Oryctolagus cuniculus: one gene and its partners. The protein of the gene in region 1 purifies or fractionates together with the protein of each later gene. This does not show direct contact. Links are inferred from orthologs where the notes say so. Each region holds a gene or a part of one and is shown in the gene's direction. Other genes may lie near its edges.

The links.
Region 2: the proteins of FOXO1 (region 1) and SIRT1 purify together in Homo sapiens (affinity purification with western blotting; 5 studies listed by BioGRID and IntAct, with this or other methods). This does not show direct contact. The link is inferred for Oryctolagus cuniculus from reciprocal best matches to the Homo sapiens genes FOXO1 and SIRT1.
Region 3: the proteins of FOXO1 (region 1) and SIRT2 purify together in Homo sapiens (affinity purification with western blotting; 3 studies listed by BioGRID). This does not show direct contact. The link is inferred for Oryctolagus cuniculus from reciprocal best matches to the Homo sapiens genes FOXO1 and SIRT2.
Region 4: the proteins of FOXO1 (region 1) and ATG7 purify together in Homo sapiens (affinity purification with western blotting; 4 studies listed by BioGRID). This does not show direct contact. The link is inferred for Oryctolagus cuniculus from reciprocal best matches to the Homo sapiens genes FOXO1 and ATG7.
Region 5: the proteins of FOXO1 (region 1) and SKP2 purify together in Homo sapiens (affinity purification with western blotting; 4 studies listed by BioGRID). This does not show direct contact. The link is inferred for Oryctolagus cuniculus from reciprocal best matches to the Homo sapiens genes FOXO1 and SKP2.

The regions. Positions count from the first base shown.
Region 1 is NC_091440.1:72,837,607-72,841,960, forward strand, and holds the start of FOXO1 (forkhead box protein O1), read left to right. Parts: upstream 1-1,480; 5' UTR 1,481-1,616; coding exon 1,617-2,264; intron 2,265-4,354. UniProt on the Homo sapiens protein: Transcription factor that is the main target of insulin signaling and regulates metabolic homeostasis in response to oxidative stress.
Region 2 is NC_091446.1:59,832,928-59,837,088, forward strand, and holds the start of SIRT1 (NAD-dependent protein deacetylase sirtuin-1), read left to right. Parts: upstream 1-1,284; 5' UTR 1,285-1,360; coding exon 1,361-1,793; intron 1,794-2,708; exon of another isoform or gene 2,709-2,776; intron 2,777-3,198; coding exon 3,199-3,315; intron 3,316-4,161. UniProt on the Homo sapiens protein: NAD-dependent protein deacetylase that links transcriptional regulation directly to intracellular energetics and participates in the coordination of several separated cellular functions such as cell cycle, response to DNA damage, metabolism, apoptosis and autophagy.
Region 3 is NC_091449.1:15,878,435-15,882,129, forward strand, and holds part of SIRT2 (NAD-dependent protein deacetylase sirtuin-2), read left to right. Parts: intron 1-1,427; coding exon 1,428-1,557; intron 1,558-2,819; coding exon 2,820-2,879; intron 2,880-3,116; coding exon 3,117-3,172; intron 3,173-3,278; coding exon 3,279-3,355; intron 3,356-3,446; coding exon 3,447-3,498; intron 3,499-3,695. UniProt on the Homo sapiens protein: NAD-dependent protein deacetylase, which deacetylates internal lysines on histone and alpha-tubulin as well as many other proteins such as key transcription factors.
Region 4 is NC_091441.1:115,793,256-115,796,950, reverse strand, and holds part of ATG7 (ubiquitin-like modifier-activating enzyme ATG7), read left to right. Parts: intron 1-1,077; coding exon 1,078-1,227; intron 1,228-3,695. UniProt on the Homo sapiens protein: E1-like activating enzyme involved in the 2 ubiquitin-like systems required for cytoplasm to vacuole transport (Cvt) and autophagy.
Region 5 is NC_091445.1:61,730,357-61,734,051, forward strand, and holds part of SKP2 (S-phase kinase-associated protein 2), read left to right. Parts: intron 1-853; coding exon 854-988; intron 989-3,009; coding exon 3,010-3,108; intron 3,109-3,695. UniProt on the Homo sapiens protein: Substrate recognition component of a SCF (SKP1-CUL1-F-box protein) E3 ubiquitin-protein ligase complex which mediates the ubiquitination and subsequent proteasomal degradation of target proteins involved in cell cycle progression, signal transduction and transcription.

The DNA.
Region 1 (4,354 bases):
GGTAATTGTGTTTCCACCTTTGGCCCCACTGCTCCCGGACAGGACGTCCCGGACCTGGAGCCCAGATGGAGCAAGGTGGGGAGGTGGGGTGGGAGTGACTGATGGACGCAGCGGGCAGCCCCACAACCTGGGGGTGGGGCAGCGCTGTGGTCAAGGCTTCGGTCTCAGCCCCTCTCGCGTTTTTACTCAACACTTCATCACTTCTAAATAAAAAAGGAAGTAAGCCAACTGTTACACTTAATTACGGGCAAGGAATAAATGGACAAAGTGCTCGCGAACTTGCTCTGCCGACCCTTCGCCGCGGCCACCGCTGGCCCGGTGGACAGTGCAAGGCTGGCGCGCTAGGGCAGAGTGTCCCAGAGGATAGGAGACCCAGGGACCCTGTGCTTGCCCAGCCCTTTCCCTCATTTCTGCCCTTTTAGGTCAACAATGGCAGAATTCGGGCCGGACGACCAGCCCCGGGGGCGGCGCGCGCAGGTGGGTTCCGGCGCGGGGGCGGCGCGGCTGGCGTCCCGTGCCGGCAGGGACCCGACCACAAGGCCCACGGTCTCCCGGGGTGGGGACGGGGAGGCGTGTGCGGCCCGAGCGGGGGCAGGAGGACTTGACCGAGCGCAGCGAAAGAAAACGCTGCACGAAAACAAACCCTGCCGACTTCCCCGCACCGCGCCGCGCGGACCGCGTGGGTGGAGCGGAGAGGGGGCGACCGAGTGGAATTCCGCGCGGCCGCCTCCACCCCGCCCCGCCCCGCGCCCTGCCCTGCCCTGCCCTGGTCTGGGCGCCGAGCGGAGGTCGGGGCCACGGCAGCCGCTCGTTCCGCTCGGGCTTCGCCAGTCCACGGCTCGGCTCCCCCGTAGTAAACAAAGTGTCGCCGCCGCCTCCACGTTGGTTTGCCTCTCAGCAGTCAAAACAGTAAGAGGGCGAGAGACTCGCAGAAATACTCGAGAATTACCAGAAAATAATCACAAAAAGAGAGAGAACGTGCGTGTGCGCCAACGAGAAAAACACCCCACTACCCCCCTACCAACCCACAGCCGCCTCCTCGTGGAAAACCGGGCCCCTCCCCAGCCCTCTCCCACTGGCTGCTTGGGCGGCGGTGCCGCGCGCCCATTGGCTGCGCGGGCTGTCAATCGGGGGCGGGCCGGCGCGCGCGCCGCCGCGGGCGGGGGGCGGTGGCAGATCCCGTAAGTCGGGCAGCCGCGTAGTTGCTGCTGCCGCCGCCGCCGCCGCCGCCGCCTCCAGCGCATTCAACAGGCAGCTGCGCCGCGCTCGCGCCGCCGGCGAGAGCGAGCGGCCCGCGGTGTCCGTCCGTCCGTCCGTCCGTCCGTGGCCCTGTCAGCAGGAGCGCGGCCCTGGAGCTGCCCGGCTCTGGCCAGCCGTCCTGGTGGTGCAGCGAACCCGGAGCAGCCTTGGATGTTGATGGACCCACGAAGTTAAGTTCTGGGCTCGCGCGGCTACTCCGCTGCTCCTTCCTCCCGGTTTCCGTCAGCTCGCGGCACTGACTTCGTCCTCCCCCCATCCCCCCAGGATCTCGGGCCAGCCTTTGCGCCCCCTCCGCTCCGCGCTGCGCTCCCCCCCTTCTCGGCTCTCCGGCGGCTGGGGGAGGGGCGGGGGTCACCATGGCCGAAGCGCCTCAGGTGGTGGAGATCGACCCGGACTTCGAGCCGCTGCCCCGGCCGCGCTCGTGCACCTGGCCGCTGCCCAGGCCGGAGTTTAGCCAGTCCAACTCGGCCACCTCCAGCCCGGCGCCGTCGGGCGGCGCGGCCGCCAACCCCGACGCCGCGGCGGGCCTGCCCCCAGCCTCGGCGGCCGCTGTCAACGCCGACTTCATGAGCAACCTGAGCCTGCTGGAGGAGAGCGAGGACTTCCCGCAGGCGCCCGGCTCCGTGGCGGCGGCCGCAGCGGCGGCGGCGGCGGTGGCGGCGGCCGCGGCGGCTGCCACCGGGGGACTGTGCGGGGACTTCCAGGGCGCAGAGGCGGCGGGCTGCCTGCACCCGGCGCCGCCGCAGCCCCCGGCGCCCGGGCCACTGTCACAGCACCCGCCTGTACCCCCCGCGGCTGCTGGGCCGCTCGCTGGGCAGCCGCGCAAGAGCAGCTCGTCCCGCCGCAACGCGTGGGGCAACCTGTCCTACGCCGACCTCATCACCAAGGCCATCGAGAGCTCGGCCGAGAAGCGGCTCACGCTGTCTCAGATCTACGAGTGGATGGTCAAGAGCGTGCCCTACTTCAAGGATAAGGGCGATAGCAACAGCTCGGCGGGCTGGAAGGTGAGCGGCCGGACCGGGGCGCGGTGGGGCAGGTGCGGGGGTGGCTGGGCGGGTCGCGCGGGCGGCCGAGGGCGGGTGGGAAGTGGCAGGTGCGGGGGCTTGCCCGGGCGGAGGGGAGGCGCGCGCGCGCCGCAGAGTTGCGGTGGGACAGGCACAGGGGCGTGTTGGGGGGGAACTGAGGCGTGAAGAAAGTGCGTCAGGAACTGGGCGTCAGAGCGGGCAGGAAAGTTTGCCAGTCAGAGAGAGAAGGTTTCACGCGGAGCGGCTGCCCCTTTTGCCTCCCGGACCTCCGGCGGGGAGGGCGGCTCCTCTCCGCCCTCGCAGCGCGGGGCCGTTTCCGCCGCGCCGAGCGGTGGAGGGGGCGGCGAGGGGGGCACCCAAACCCGGGGGGCACGGCTGCAGGTGGAGGGGACAGCCTTGGGACGGTGCGGGGTCGGCCGCGCCACTTCTGGAGGCCGATGCGCTTTTGGCTTTGTTTTGGTTTTATCCCGGGTGGCCTCGGGTGCTGGGGTCCAGGCGCGCCGAGCCCGAGGGAGCGCCTCCGACACGTGCGAAGGGGCGGCCACCGCCTGCGGAGCGCCGGCGCCCGGCCGCGCGGGGCGAGCTAAGTTCAAGTGTGACCCTCGGCGGGGGCGGGCGCCGGCGGCGGCTGGGGAGGGGCCGCGGGCGCAGGAAGCGAGCGCCTTTAAAGGGCCAGCGCGGCGGGCCGGCCCCGGTCCACGCAGGGAAGCGCCCCAAACATGGGCTTGGCCACGGTGTGAGGCTAATAATTAGAAACACGGAGGCAGGCCAGGGTGGGTGTGTGTGTGCGCGCCCGCGCGCCTTTTCTTGGCCTCGCCACCTCAGTGTTATGAAGCGCTGGTGCGCCGGTGAGGGCCGACGCAGGGGGTTTTGTGACCCTTGCGGCCGGGGAAGTCGCAGAGGAGGTGCGCGTCCGGGCCACGGCAGGACATCCTGAGCGAGGCTGGCAAAGACTCGGGTGGGGGGTGGCTGGCGCATCCCTTCCCCGCCTTGAAGGCCGCGGGAGGACGCGCTCGGCGCGGGCCCCCGAAAGCCGACAGTTTCTCACGGTTTTGGATGTGAAAAGACTCGCTGCTTGAATCAGACCCCTTTCTCGCCTCGCCTGGCCCCTTAGCGTGACTGTACGGCGTAACACGGAGTGGTCTTCCCCGCGCGAGCGTTACAGCGACTGGCTCACATACCCTGTCGGTTCTGTGGTTAATGTGTCAGAAAGGTCAGCTTCCTCACATCTTATTGAGGTTCCTTGGAGAAGGAGTCAGGACTTTATTTTTCCTAACAGTGTTTAAGAGTAAAAGTATCACTTATAACCTCATTAGTAGGCATTACGTGCAGTTTTGCCAAGTGGTTCGTAAAAGTAAAGTGCCTTCTTGCTGTAGGCTCCTTGTATCTTGTGTTCTCAGTCACAAAATGAAGATTGTCAAATCCAATTTCACTTAGTATTGGAATTTAAGTACTTGACTGATTTGCTCATCTATCAATTCTATTTAAGCTATTAAAAAGCATTTGCAATTAAATTTTTTTTTTGACATTCAGAGTACTGTGTGTACTTAGCCATTCTTTCACGTCCTTGGAAATGGATACAACTTACTTCAACTTGCTGGAGTAGCTTTCTTTAAAGATAAGGGCAGTGTTTCAGGATATTTTTAGTTTGCCTCTCAAGGCATTGTCAAGGTATTCTGACACTAGGAATATAACTTAGAACTTTTTAAGGCTTAGACTTTATATGTATGTAAACTCTAAGGTCATATCACCCCCTTAACCATTTTCTTAAGTTCTTGTTTTAACATTTTTTTTTTAAAGATGCAGGTATAATTTTGTATTTTAAAATTGTCTTTAGGAGAGCTATTAAGTGCTGAGTAGGGACCATGTGCTGAGTGGCAGCTCCCAGAGGGAACTCCGAGCCTGGCCTTGGGAGGGAGTAGTCTGTGTTTGTCAGATGAGTAGATGTTTCAGGAGTAATGAAGAATCAGTTGGTGCAAGTCAGATTCCAGCAAGTGTATTTTCAGTTTGAGTAAAAGGGTATTTTAAGGAAAAAAAAAAAAAAAACCTGAACTGTTCTAACTCATAAC
Region 2 (4,161 bases), on another chromosome or scaffold:
AAATGGAAGGAAGTGACTGGCTGTCAAAGGGAGATTCTGTTTAATTTGAAGTGCAAACATTTTTGAAACTAGTAAATGATATCTCAAAAATGAGTTTCCAGCCTTCTTGGTTCTTTTTGAAGCTAAAGCAACAGAGCTTGAGTTGCTTGCCTAAGGTCATGCAGGTATCGGTGCAATATATCCAGGACCCATAGTCAGTTTAAGGAATGGTGTGCTATGAACGCTGAGAAGTTCTTTAAGTGACTAGAAATGCTGCAGGCAGATGCCACGCAAAGCATAGGTCCTTAGTTATGGCTGTAAAGTAACAATTTTCCAGGGCAAGTGGAAAGTGGTGGAGTTTCCAGTGGGGAAGCAACTCTGGTTTTTGAACTACTATGTACCTTTTAAATATAGCTAGCTTATTTAATTTTCATAACCCTGCAAAATAGGTATTATGAGAAAAAATTGGATTTAGAAAAGGCTAACTTGCTCGGTATACAAGAATCCCAAATTTAAAGCAAACCCAGAGATGGGGAGTGGCCGAGCCTTGTTCTCGACTGCCCGACTTGACCCAATGCAATCACTACACCTGAGAACACCGGGGCCCACAGGTAGGAACGCACACACATTTGAGTACAAGTTACGGACCGAAAGCTGATAGGCTGACTCCCAAGTTCCCAGGTCAAAGGACCTAGGACGGGGACACACGCCTGTGAGGATCTGACAATCTCGCCCCACAAGTGAGGGCGACAGGGCACAAGAGCCAATCACTGAAGGGGAGGGCCAAGCAAAGGAGCTGAAGAAGGGCTGTCAGAATGGCGCGGGGGCGGCAGAGCGCCTTGTTCTTTCCTCCCCACTGACAAAAGCCCAACGGCTACCCAGCGTTATTTCAAGGAGCGAAGCTTCAGTCCTCATCGCCTCTCAGGAGCCCAACTTTAACCCTTAGCTAAAAATGCAGACAGGGCTAGGCAGGGAAGGTGTGCGCTGGAGGCAGAAGTGGAAACTCCGTGAACCAAAACGTGTGCCTTCCGGACGGTCCTGAGTTCAGGACGCTTCCAAACAGAAGTTCAAAAGCGGCCGCCGAGCGAGCGTGCAAGACACGCCCGCCACTGAGGGGAGGGGCCTCAGGCCGCCCGAGCCGCGTTTCCTCCCCGCCCGAGCAGAGAGGGAGACGCCCGGGCCTCCGCCCGCCACGTGACCGGCCGTGTTGTGGTTCGGCCCGCGTGGGTGGCGGGAGCGGCGGGAGGGCGGGGGCGGGGGCGGAGGCAGGTCACGTGACGGGGTTTAAATCTCCCGCAGCCGGAGCCGCGGGGGCGCCAGTGCCGCGCGTCGAGCGGGAGCAGAGGAGGCGAGGAAGGAGGGCCAGAGAGGCAGTTGGAAGATGGCGGACGAGGCGGCGCTCGCCCTTCAGCCTGGCGGCTCCCCGTCGGCTGCGGCGGCCGAGAGGGAGGCCGCTTCGCCGCCTGCTGGAGAGCCGCTCCGCAAGAGGCCGCGGAGAGACGGCCCTGGCCTCGGGTGGAGCCCGGGCGAGTCCGGCGGGCCGGCCCCCGAGCGTGAGGTGCCGGCGGCGGCGGCGGCGGCGGCCGGGAGCTGCCCGGCTGTGGCGGCGGCGCTGTGGCGGGAGGCGGAGGCGGCGACGGCGACGGGCGGGGAGCGAGAGGCCCAGGCTATGGTAGCGGCCGGAGGAGACAATGGGCCTGGCCTGCAGGGCCTACCCCGGGAGCCGCCGCCGGCCGACGATTTCTGCGAAGACGAAGACGACGACGACGAGGGCGAAGAGGAGGAAGAGGCGGCGGCGGGGATTGGGTACAGAGGTGCGCAGGGCGCGGGCGGCCGGGACTGCGCATCCCCCTCCTCCTCCTCTCGGGGCCCCTCCTAGTGTCCGGTTGGGGGGGGGGTCTCTAGGGCGGGCCGGGGGTTCCGGGCTGGCTCGCGGGATCCTCTCCCCATGGCGGCCCTCCGTTCAGCCGCGCTGCTCCCGGGCTGCCGGCCGTGCGGTGGGGAGCTGCGCGCGGACTTGCTCCTTGTCTTCCCTCGGTCCGCGGCCCCTCTCGGCGGCCTTGCGGCGTTCGACGCAGCCGCCGGGTGTGGACGCTGTCTCCCTTGGCTTTACAAATAAGTTTTCTCTCTTCTAGTATTGCTTTCGTTGAACTTACTTTGCTCTCCTCCTCCTTCACCAGCACACTTAAAGTCTGCAACTTTCGGCCGTCCCGTTGGTCGACCTTTCGCAGTTGCCCGTGCAAACTGACACCTGTGCCATTTATTTATTTATTTGACGATCTGTACTTTTAAACTTGTAGTTATAAATTTGGAAAGAGCAAAGCGGCTTTCTGAGGTCTTAACCTGAAAACTTTAAAAGCATAGTTTCTAAAGCAGTCTTTTGTGATGCGTTTAGTGGGGATCGCATAATGAAGTACTTTCAGAGTGCTTTATATTAATATTGTGGTTGAGTCGTGTTCTGAAGTGGTTTTAAGCTAAATGGGATTCTTCTGTATATATGTGATCCTGAAGCAGGTTGACATGTTTTTGACATACTGAAGTACATGTCTTGTCCTTGAGGGTTTCATAGTTTGACTTGAGAAGTTTCTGTGTCTGTCAGTACTGTGTCGGAACTAGCCAGTGGAGCATTTAGTAGCCACATGGAAAAAAAAAAATGTGTAGTGTATACATCAGGGACTGCACAGGTGAAGCAGCTCCTGATTTCAAGAAACAAAATTCCTTCCTCCTTCAGGTAAATTTGGCAAATATTAAATTTCTTTGTGATTCAGTCTGCTGAACTAAGGAACCATCATAGTATTTAGAAGCACAATAAATGGGAGAAACAGATAATGCAGAAATAGCTAAGTATGTTTAGTAGTATATAAAAGCCCAGAGTGCAGGCAGCCTTGGTTTTCACAACGTTGGTGGGTAAATTTTGACAACTTGCATGTACTCCTTTGCTTGTATGATTGCTAAGCTCAGTCTATAGAGACTACCTCTTATTCTGTTTTGACTTTTTAAAAAGTAGACTCAGATTTTTGATAGACTGAAGCTTTGAATTCTGCAAAGGATCTCTTGAGGATCAGAGAACTGCTCTTGTGAATGTTGACCACCTTTACACATGCGGGATGTATGTTAAATGCTTTAGTCATTAAAAATGGTTGCTTTGTGACCACTGATGAGTCTTCTTGCATTTCAGATGCAGGCTGTCAGCAGCCTTAATGTTGATTTCTTTTGCAGATAATCTCTTGTTCGGTGATGAAATTATCACTAATGGCTTTCACTCATGTGAAAGCGATGACGACGACAGAGCCTCACATGCAAGCTCTAGTGACTGGACTCCAAGGCCACGGATAGGTATGGTTCAGAGCTGTGCCCCTCCCCCCATTTTCCCTCTGTCCCTTTAATAGATTGAAGTTTTTAGGTACATGGAGAGATTTAATAACAACTTATATTTCTAAGAAAAATCTAGTGCTCTTAAGTACAAAAATTGTACGTATTTATGGGGTACCATTTGATGTTTTGACACATTATAGATTGTGTAACATCTAAATTAGAGTAAACATCCCTGTCTCATACATCATCTTGTTATTGTGAAATCATTCAAAATCTTTTTTGCTATTTTTTTTAAAGAAAAATAAAGGGGTAAGCATAGAGGTTAATATGCTAGTTGGGTCTCCTGGATCCTATATCTGAGTGCCTACTTTGAAGTCCTGCTTTGCTACTGATTCCAGCTTCTTGGTAATGGACAGTGTTGGAGTTGGTGGATAGTGGTTCCAGTGGCTGGGTTCCTACTACCCCTGTAAAAGACTTGGATTGAGTTCTTGACTCCTGGCTTCTGCGTGGCCCAGCCCAGCTATTGTGGCTGTTTGGGGACTGAAACGGCAGAGGGGAGCTGTCACTCACATCCGCTTTCTTGCTCTCTTGTGCTCTCACTCCACCTTTTTAAATAAAGAACATAATTTTTTAAAAATTAAATAAAACACACAATGCATTTTCTTTTTTTTTTTTTTTTTAAGACTTATTTACTTACTTGAAAGTCGGAGTTACACAGAGACGGAGAGAGGTCTTCCATCCGCTGGTTTACTCCCCAGATAGCTGCAACAACTGGAGCTGTGCCGATCCGGAGCCAGGAGCTTCTTCTGGGTCTCCCACATGGGTGCAGGGGCCCAAGGACTTGGGCCATCTTCTGCTGCTATCCCA
Region 3 (3,695 bases), on another chromosome or scaffold:
TTTTCTTTTCTTTTCTTTTCTTTTCTTTTTTCTTTTCCTTTCCTTTCCTTTCCTTTCTCTCTCTCTCTCTCTCTCTCTCTCTCTCTCTCTCTCTTTCTTTCTTTCTTTCTTTCTTTCCTTCTTTCTTTCCTTCTTTCTTTCCTTCTTTCTTTCCTTCTTTCTTGTGGGGAGCAATCCGGACTGGACTGAGTTACTGGAATTAGGACTTATTCTATGCATCTGCTCTCCCACAATATGGCGCTGGGAGAGAAGTAAACAGCTTCCGCACAGCTGCCTCCAGTTCAACTAATAAACTGTAGGACTTGCTCCTGATTGGAGGAGAGCAGCGTACTCGGCGTGTGGGCAGCCGAGTTGGGATTGGCGGAGGAGGACTATAAAGGAGGAGAGAGACGGCATGCACCGGGAACATCTAAGGGGAACATCTAGCTGAAGGAACACCTGTGCAGCCCCCGAGAAAGCCGGCCGGCGGTGTGCCGCTCCCCTGCGGAAGTGGGGAATGTGGCCAGGGGGAACTGCCCTTCCACAGAGGTGGAAGGGATAGTAGCCAACCCGGGAAGAACCAGCAGCAAACCCGGGGAGGGCCGAGCAGACGAAAGAACAGCGCAGGGTCCTGTGTCGTTCCTCCACGAAGAGGGGGAGCGACATTTCTTTCCTTATTTCTCTCCTTATTTCTCTCTTTCTCCCTCTCTCTCTCTCTCTCTCTCTCTCTCTCTCTCTCTCTTTCTTGACAGGCAGAGTTAGATGGTCAGAGAGACAGAGAGACAGAGAGAAAGGTTCTCCTCCCATTGGTTCACCCCCCAGATGGCCGCTACAGCCGGTGCGCCGGAAGCCAGGAGTCAGGTGCTTCTCCTGGTCTCCCACGCAGGTGCAGGGCCAAAGCACTTGGGCCATCCTCCACTGCACTCCCTGGCCACAGCAGAGAGCTGGCCTGGAAGAGGGGCAACCGGAACAGAATCTGGTGCCCCAACCGGGACTAGAATCCGGTGTGCCGGAGCCTCAGGCGGAGGATTAGCCAAGTGAGCCGCAGCGCCGGCCCATTTATTTCTTTTTTTAAGATTTATTTTATTTATTTGAAAGGCAAAGAGAGGGAGACACACACACACACACACATACACACAGATCTGTCATCCACTGGTTCATTTCCCACAGCTGGTGCTGGTCCAGGCTGGAATCCATCCGGGTCTCCCACATGCTATGATAGGGGCCCAAGCACTTGGGCATCTTCTGCTGCCTTCCCAGGTGCATGAGCAGGGAGCAGGGTTGGAAGTGGAGCAGCCAGGACGCCAGAGTGGCAGTTTAACCCGCTGCGCCAGGCCACCGGCTCCACCTCCTGGCCCGTGAGGAGGGTGGCTCTCTCCTGACTCCTCCTGGCCCATGAGGAGGGGGGCTCTCTCCTGACTCCTCCTCCCTCTGCCTCCCCCACACAGAACATAGACACCCTGGAGCGCGTGGCGGGGCTAGAGCCAGAGGACCTGGTGGAGGCCCATGGTACCTTCTACACATCACACTGTATCAGCTCCCTGTGCCGGCGTGAGTACTCGCTGGACTGGATGAAAGGTGAGGGGCTGGGGGCTCCATGAGGCGGGGAACAGGGCCTCCTGGGCGCTGGGCTCTGTGGTAGTGGCCCCCACTGGTGGGAAGTGGTGGCGCACGCTGCTGTCGGCCAGGCCCTCCTGAGTGCAAACTGCAGACCGTGGTCTGCAGGTGGCCTGTCCCCAAGGCCACGAAACCCCAGCTCTGGGTCCGGTCAGGTGCCCTTCGCACCTGCCTCCCGAGAAGAGCAGCCCTGACCTCTGGAACATTCTGGGACAAGAGAAAGGCTCGTTTCTGCGCAGTCCGCATGGCAGCCCCTTGCAGCCTGTGGCTGTGGAGCTCCGTGCCTGGTGCCCCCTGGGAGCCGAATCGCTCGTTCTGCTTCATTTTTGTTCGCTGAAGTTGTTCAAGTCGCATGTGGCTTTGCGGGCCCATTGTGCATGGTGCAAACACAAGCCGCGGCTTGTGACAGCCGGTGTGGATGTGCATCAGGACGAAGGAGCACGGGCCACACGGGGTTGCGGGAGCTGCCGTCCCAGTTCACACGAGGCCAGAGCTCCAGTCCCCCGAGCCCGCGGCCAGGGCGAGCCTGTCGCCGACGTCCATTGTGCTGGCTGAGGAGCCGCCTGCTGCGGCTGGACAGGCGTCTCTGGCATTCTTTATGCTCAGCTAACAAAGCCGCCGGTGTCCACGTGAGAGCGACAGCTGCAGTCCCCCGGGAGGGTGGCCCTGCTGAAAAGTGGCCAGCTGACTGCCCCCGGGCGTGAGCTCCTGAACCGCAGCCACTGCGTGCAGCTGGTGGCGGGGGACTGGGGGCCGGCGTACAATCACCCCCCCCCCCGGGAGCGTCACCCACAACGCAGCGTCTTGTGCACGCAGCACTGTGCTGGTGTGGGCTGGGAGAATGAATGAGTGGCTGAAGGAATGAGTTAGAGTTCTGAGGGCTGCCAGGGACAGAAAATGCATTCAAGCCTGACAGGGGTGGGATTGTCCCAAGGCAGCTGCACCAGGGGCTCCGTCACGGTCCCCAGGTTCTGTCGCCGTCCCCGCATCATCAGGGGTTCTCCCTCCACTCCCACTCACCCCCCGTTGCCAAACCTGGCAATCACCAGGCCCCCCTGACCCCGGGGAGCCAGGGCTGCCCTCGAAGAGCCCCCTGGAGTCCAGATATCCTGTAACAGAGCAGACCCCACCCCAGGTTCTCCCAGGCCCAAGGGGCGTGTTGGTGCCGCAGCCCCCAGCGCCAGCCCCTCACGGCCCTCTCTCCCCCGCTCTCCCCTGCCCAGAGAAGATCTTCTCGGAGGTGACTCCCAAGTGTGAGAAGTGCCAGAGCGTGGTGAAGCCTGGTGAGCCGGGGCTGGGGCTGCCCAAGCTGGCACCTCCCCCTTCCCCCACCCATCCCTTCCCATAGGTCACCCGCTTCCACCCTCAGCCCTGTGCATCCTGGGGAGGGGGCAGTTCTGTCTGTCCCCCAGCCGTCTCTGCCCTCAGCCGGCCTCTCCTGCTACCTGTCCCCGCTCCGTGTCCTTGCTCTGTATCCCCCGTCTCTTCCTGCCTGTGACCATCCCCCGTCTCCGCGGCAGACATCGTATTTTTCGGAGAGAACCTGCCGGCGCGCTTCTTCTCCTGCATGCAGTCAGTAAGTGCCTGGCCGGCTGCGGCTGGGGCCCTGTTGCAGGGGGCGCGCGGGGCAGAGCGGCCCAGCCTGGGCAGCGGCCGGGGCCCTCACCGCTGCCCCCCTGCAGGACTTCCTGAAGGTGGACCTGCTCATCGTCATGGGCACCTCCCTGCAGGTGCAGCCCTTCGCGTCCCTCATCGGCAAGTAGGTTGGGGGCCAGTGCAGGGCGGGGCGGGGCTGGGCGCTGAGGCGGGGCCAGGACAGAGCCTGAGCACTGAGCCCCGCGTCCCCCCAGGGCACCCCTGTCCACCCCGCGCCTGCTCATCAACAAGGAGAAGACCGGCCAGGTGAGATGCTGTGCTCACACCTCCCCTCGCCCGCCTCCCACCTCCGCGCCTGGCTCCCTCCTTCCCCACCCCCACCCAGAGGGAACCCCCATGGGGCAGTCCCGAGGGCTCTAGGGACCTTCTGGGCTGAGTGACAGGTCCCAGCGTCAGCTGAGGAAGAGAATCTGTGTCTCCGGGCGAGGGAGGCGCCGCTGGCT
Region 4 (3,695 bases), on another chromosome or scaffold:
ATGCAGTCAGCAGGAGTTTTCCAGGTTTCCATGGTGTTTGGTGAGATGCTAAGCCAGCAAGGAGGGTTACAGGGACACTTTGAAAGACTGCAAGAATCTACCAAAACAGAGTCTTCACACTGAGTGGAGGGAAACCTAAGGCATCGTTCTGCGGGAAGAGCGTCTGAAATCACACAGCCCTCTGCCCTCTGCCCTCGTGCACGGCGGCAGGACTGCCCCCTCAGGAGTGGCACGTGCACAGCCAGTGGGTGCCATCTCACTGGGAAGGAGGGTGAGGTCCTCGGAGGTGATGGGAGAGGAGCAGCTGGCACGATCAGGCTGCGGAGCTGAGACCCCGAGCCCGAGCGTTCCGACAGCTGTTCAGGCGAGGATTGAGCGTCACCACGACTGCATCACTACAACGCTGAGTGCTGAAGCCCGGGGCCCCTGTGACTGTTTTGAAGGCAAAACCAAGAACAAGCTCTTTAGTATAAACCCAAGGTTGTGGTTTGTGGGACTAATTTCCAGAGAAGAAATCCTACGAGAAGGGGGGTGAGGGATGCTCGTGCTTGGAGAATGACTGCTGGCGAGTGTGGGCTTCCTTGTAGGAAAAAAGAAGAATGCTATGAAACTGTCACTCTGATGGTGACACCCCTGTGACTGGATTAAAAAACTCATGAGGTTGTGTACTTCAGTGTGGCGTTGGAGTGGTGTCTCAGTAAAGGTCACGGCAAGGTTCCTTGTTAAAGATCATGGGAGGCTCACGGTCACGTTGCCCCATGGGGCATTCATGCTGGCCAGTGCAGGAGAGATGGAACATCTGTTTCCTCGCCGACCCTCTGTGGTTGGCAGACTCGGGAGCCACCACACTGCGGCCCTGTCTAAGGTGCACACCGTGCACCTGAAAGGGGTCGCGTAGAAGTTACGTGGCAGTGTCGCAGTGTCTGGGTGCACATTGACGTTCATTTGCTGCAGAAGAGGAGCAGAGGTGCGATCGGTCATTTCCACTCTGCTGGCCTCAAGGCAGCTTCATGTCAGGTTTTAGCTCAGAACGACAAGTGTTTGTCCAGAGAATAACCTCCTGTTTCCTATTTGCAGATAGAGGCCCTGAAGCGTGCGTATGATGATCTTTGTCAAAGAGAAGGAGTCACGGCCCTGCCTTACTTCTTAATCAAGTATGATGAGAACACGGTGCAAGTCTCCTTGCTTAAACACTACAGTGATTTCTTCCAAGGTCAAAGGACAAAGGTCAGAGAAACTTTGAATGTCACTTTTTTATCCAGTTAAAAAAAAAGTTTGAAGTTTATGTTATTGTAGATCACTGCGACTTCAGACTCGATTAGATTCCCTTAGCTCCCCAGACGATGTCTTAGAACGTCGCTTTCTTCCTGCGGCCCTGTCCTGGGCTCCCACATTCACTCCTCCTTCGGAGGTTCCTACCCCATTATGCTCAGGGGAGCTGTGGTTCCCTCCCACTGGTGGTTAAGGTGTCTCAGTGTCCCTCCTGTTTCCTCATCCTCGACTTAGTTCAGCTCTGGACAGTGGGAATCCTTGCTTCCTGTCTCGCTTGATGCCACTAGGGACACTTTTCTTTCAGTGACTCACGATCATTGCCTCATTCATTGACCCGGCCCCACCTAGTCTCCTGCTCCGGCCCCCTGAAACCATTGCTGTGGCTAAGCTTGTCTGGGTTTCAGCAGACGCCTGCCACCCGCAGGCAAACCAAATATACCCAGAACTTTCCCCTTTTTGCTCCTGTGGGGTCATCTTTCCCAAACATACGGTGCCAGGGAAAGTCCTACGAATGTCTCTACTGAAATCTAACCCTGTCACCAAGCCTCCCCTGGGGTGCGGCCGTGTGATCCCTCCCTCTCTGGACTCTGCTCTTGTTCTCCTATTCTCTGTCACAGAGCCAGGGCTTTGGCTGCCTTCCTTCCTGCGCTGTGCTGGGCTGTGTGTTCCCAGAGGGCAGGACCCTTGCCTCAGGGATCTGTGTCTGCTAGTGTCTGGCACTTGTCTTTGAGTGAGCAGAAGAATATAGTAAGCATCTTTGAGATGTCATCGGCTACACAGTAACAATAATTTCAGCAGCCGTGGAGGAAAGTGGTCTTACCTGATGGCCCAATTTCCCTTAGCCAAGCCTGTCTTTTTTGAGAGCTTTTTATGTTCCCACATTAGCATTTTCTTTTTCAGAAGAGGCCCTTTGTAAAGTAAGGTTGGAGGATTGAATTCTCATTAAAATTCTCAGAACTGCAGCTGAGTAAGCAGCAGTAAGACTAACCAGGAATGACCGAAGCCCAGTCCCGGGGGTCACGTGGGGACAGCAGGCAGGACAGGTGGATCCGACAGCAGCCAGGGCTCAGGTCTCTCACACAGCGCAGCTCTGCTGAACGGAGCAGGAGTGATCTGAGGAGCTCTTTCCTGTGCGAGAGGGACTTTCACCTCCTTGATCTTGTCATGCTAATTCTATGAAATAGGTGTTATTAGAATCGCGTTTTCTATGTGAACAAGAGACACAAAGGCGTGGGGTCAAATTGTCTGATTCCCCAGCTCTTGCCCTTAGCGCTTCCCACTTGCTCGTTGTCCGAGCAGAGGTAGCCGCTGCTTGACCTTTGCAGTCGACACTGCTGGAGAGCTCTGTGACCTCGGCGGAGCTGCCGTGCCCGGCCTGGCCTTCGTACATCAGTGAGATGGTGGCGGCACTGCCTCCTCCCGGATCTGTGAATGAGGTGCCCACACATAGCAGGGGCTCAGTATGCATCCGCTTCCTTTCTCCCATGATCAGATCCCTGGGGGGGGTTTCCAGTGTCCTGTCCCCGAGACCAGCTGCCAGCCATGGCCAGGCACAGCGTCCCTGTGACTTGGCTGGGGCTGTATCTCGGGAAAGGTTGTGATTCCTCAGCATGTGTGTTGGGCCAGGAATTGTGAGATGCAGTCAGACCTGTTCTCAGAGGACCTCAAGGGGCCTGGACAGCGGAGGCCTTGACTCGTGGGCAGTTCGCTGGAAGTTCTGGGTGGGTAGGAGAGGAGCAGAGCAGTGATGCACACAGTGCCCTGGCTGGTTCTAGAGAGCATCGCCCGGCTGTGCCCACTGGTGGCCTTCAGGGGTTCCTGGTCTCCTGGCTGGCCTCTCTCGCCATGGCGCACTGCTGCCCAAGTACGGTTTCCAGCCTGCACGCTTGCTGATGTCACTCTTTGGTTTGAAACTCCTCTGGGTTCCTGTTGACTGCACTCTGCATTCAAGGCCTCTTCACATCTGGCCCCAGCCTGTCACTCCAGCCTCATCTGGTGTTCTCCAAGATGCATTCCCTCTCCTAGCTGCAGCTCTGCCCTCCCAGTGCCTCCTCTTGCCCCAGCTGTCTCCCCTCTGTCCCCTTGTCAATCACCACCCCAGGAAGCACTGACTGATTGCCCATAGCCTCTCGCCTCCCTCCTTTGCATTCTGGTAGCAGCCTCCTTCTGCACCCACGGGTTGGTTTGCTCGTCTGTCTGCCTGTGCACACCTGTGGCACAGAGACCGGATTTCCCCCCACTCTGTATCCTTTACACGGAGTGCGATGCCCGACACTGGTGCAGCACGTGACGGGGGTGTGGAGAGGCAGAAGAGGGCCCTGTGGACTGATGTACTCAGATACGGCTTCCAGGGAAAGTTAGCCTCGAGCAGAAGCCCAGCGAACAGAACTTTGTGTAACTTGGCGTGACTTGAAGTTGTTCCT
Region 5 (3,695 bases), on another chromosome or scaffold:
ACCAACACTTGAACTGACGCCCATATGGGATGCTAGCATTGCAGGCAGTGGCTTAACCCATTGTGCCACAACACTGGCCCCTCCATCATTATTTAAAATATAGAGGACAGAGACAGAGAGTTCCCCTCCACTGGTTCATACACCATCTGGGACTGGGCTAAAACAATCCAGGTTTCCCAGACGAGTGACAAGAACTGTATTAATAACTTGAGGCATCAGCACTGCCTCCCAGTGTCACATTAGCAGGAAGCTAGAGTTAGAAACCAGAGCCAGGTATCAAACCTAGGTACCTCAATAAGGGACATAGCATCTTAGCTGCTAGGCTAAACGCCTCCTTTTTGTAGACCATTTATATGCATGGCTCTCAAAATTATTTGCACCAAAATAAACTTATATTAAGTGTTGTTTAATTTATATAAGAGATAAGACAGAGAGAGGTCTTCTGTTTGTTGGTACACTCCCCAAATATTGCCATTAGCTGGAGCTGGGCTAAACCAACGCCAGAAACCAGGAATTGCATCCAAGTCTTCGACATGGATGGCAAGGCCCCAACCACTTGAGCTGCCTCCCAGGATGCATATTAATAGGAAGCTGGAATTGGGAGTGGAGCCAGCACACAAACACAGGCCCTCTGAAAGGGGACGTGGGCATCTGGAGCAGCGTCTTAACTGCTGTGCCAAACACCTGCCCCTAAACTTATCTTTTGACTGCATTGTCCATGGATTTGTTGAAATGCTGTCATATTTAGGGTCCTGTCTGATTAGCTGCTCATTTGGTGAGCTCTGGGGCCAGATTTGGTCTGAATGTGCTTGCATGAGCAGCCTTATTGAGCCTCTTTCTTCTCGTTGTCCAGCTCTTTCCGTGTGCAGCACATGGACCTGTCGAACTCAGTAATAAACGTGTCTACCCTTCACGGCATTCTGTCTCAGTGCTCCAAGTTGCAAAACCTAAGCCTGGAAGGCCTACAGCTTTCGGATCTCATCGTCAAGTGAGTGGTAGCCAGAGCATGTCACAAAGGCAATCGTTTTTTATGTGCATTAATGTTCCTTGAATATGACTTGAATGCCCATCTACCCATATCCAGATGGACACAGAAAATACCTAATGCAGTACTCCAGCTTCTGCAAAACTTCGCAGGACTCATCAAGGCAACAAAAGTTGAACTGCTAGTTATATTCCAGGCCTCAGTTGTAGAGATACAAGGATGAACAAGGCATGGTCCTTGACTCATTCGTAAAAGGGACGTAATTACAAGTAATTACATAATTACTTGTGCAGTGTGTTCGCTGGATGCATGGGTGATGATGTAGCAGCCTCCACAGGGAGACCTAATTTAATTTAGGAGGGCAGCCTTCTCAGAGGAAGTGACTCTGCAGCTCAGGATTGAAGATACTCAGGGAGGAGATCCCCAAGTAATAGGACAAAGGAAGCAGCCTGGGCAAAGCTGACTGTGTGACTCAGAACTCTGTTAAGTAGTTCGAAGTTGCTGGAGCCCAGTGCTCAGGGCTGGAAGTGACAAGAGGTACAGAGTTGGCGGCGTGATTAGAATGGGCATGTGGGCCACACAGACTGGGCTGTGAAGCGGGAAGCATGGTGAGAATGGGAGGGCTGTGTCAGAGTGTGAATTTAGGAACCTGGTAGGCAGTGTGGGGTGGCAGACATGGAAGAAACTAGACTAGTTAGGACACTGTTCATTCAGGTAAGAAAGATGAAGCCTGATATGAAAAAGTATAACAAGAGCAACTAACATTTATTGACTACTTGTTATATGCCAGATGCTAAGTCCTTTATTTTTCTTTCTTTATTTGTTATTTTAAGAGAAGGAGAGACCTCCCACCCACTGGTTCACTCCTCAAATGCCCAGGAGCCAGGAACTCAATCCAGATCTCCCAGATAGGTGGCAGAGACCCAGCTAACTGAGCCATCACCTGCTGTTTCCCAGTATGTGAATTAGCTGTAAGCTGGGATCAGGAGTGGAACTGGGACTTGAACCTAGGCACTCTTATGTGGAACGGGGCATCCCAAATGCATTTTAACTTTCAAACACCCCCTCCACTAAGTTCTTTTTTATTTTGTTTTTTAAAAGATTTATTTATTTATTTTGAAAGCCAGAGTTAGAGAGAAGGATCTTCCATCTGCTGGTTCACTCCCCAAATGGCCGCAACAGCCAGGGCTGGGCCAGGCTGAAGCCGAGAGCCAGGAACTTTGTCCAGGTCTCCCACGTGGGTGGCAGGGTCCCAAACACCTGGGCCATTCTCTGCTGCTTTTTCCAGGCACCATCAGCAGGGAGCTGAATCAGAAGTGGAAAAGGCAAAGGAGTGGAACTGGCACCCATGTGGGTTGCAGGTGGTGGCATTACTCACTACACCACAGCACAGGCCCCTCCACTAGGTTCTTTAAATGCATTCTCATTTAATTCTAACCCCTGATGTGTTTTTGTTGTTTCCTCTTTATAGATGTGGAAACTGAGTCACAGGCTGAATAACAAGATCACATAGTTAGTAGGTGGCTAAACCGATATTTGAATCTGGCAATATGATTCCAGAATTCTTACCCCAATCATGAAGTTTCACTAACACAGGGTGTTTGGGAATGTGGAAGAGGACAAATTTAAGAGACATTTAATTGAAAGAAACTGGTGGCTTTATGGGTACAAATTTGCCCATAAGCTGATTCCACATGGAAGTGAAATGGATATGTTTATCACATTGATTTTTTCTTTAATTTAACAAGTACACCTGTGACTTAGTGCCAGGCACTGTGCTAAATCCTTTATTACGTTATATCATTTAATAACCTTACCTGGAAGGCACTGATATTGCCATCTCACAGGTGAGTAAACTGAGACAAAAGCCACCTGCTTAGTGTCACAAAGATAATGAAATGTGAACTCTAAACTCACTTCTGACTCAAAGGTCAGTTCACTGACTGTACCAACTGTTTTCCTCTAAACACCATTGATCAGATGTGAGTGCCTTACCACTGTTCCTCTTTTTTCTCTTTTTCCAGTAATCTTGCACAGAACTCAAATTTAATGCGACTAAACCTTTGTGGGTGTTCTGGATTCTCTGAATCTGCCCTGAAGACTTTGCTAAGTGGCTGCTCCAGGTAGGAAATTTGGGACTTGATGCATTAATTAATTTATTTGAAAAACAGTGAGACAGAGGGGTGTGGGGGGTAGGCAGACATACAGAGATCTCTCCCCTATTGGTTCACTCTGCAAATGCCTTCAGTAGACAGACTGTGTCAGGCCAAAGCAAGGAGCTAGGAATTCAGCCCCAGTCTTCCTTTTGGAGGTAATGACTCAACTTCTTGAGCCAAAGCCAGAAGCCAGGAACTCAAGACTCTTCCAGGTCTTCCATGTGGATGGTATAGTTGAGCCATCACCTGTTGCCTCCCGGTATGCATTAGTAGGAAGCAGGATCAAAAACAGAAGTGGGACTTGATTTTGATATGGGATGCATTTGTCCCAAGCGACAGCTTAACCTGCTGAACCACAAAGCCCACCCCTCTATCAGTGTTTTAAAACCTCTCAGGTGATAAAACTTACAGACTAGAATTTCTACCTGCATTCTTGGAAGGAGGTATGAACCATCAGGAGAAGAGAGTGCTCCCCTCAGTCTCCAGAAGGGGGCAGCATCCACTAAGGCCTGTGCTCAGATCCCCTGACAACTTTGGGGAGCCAGTGGGGCAGA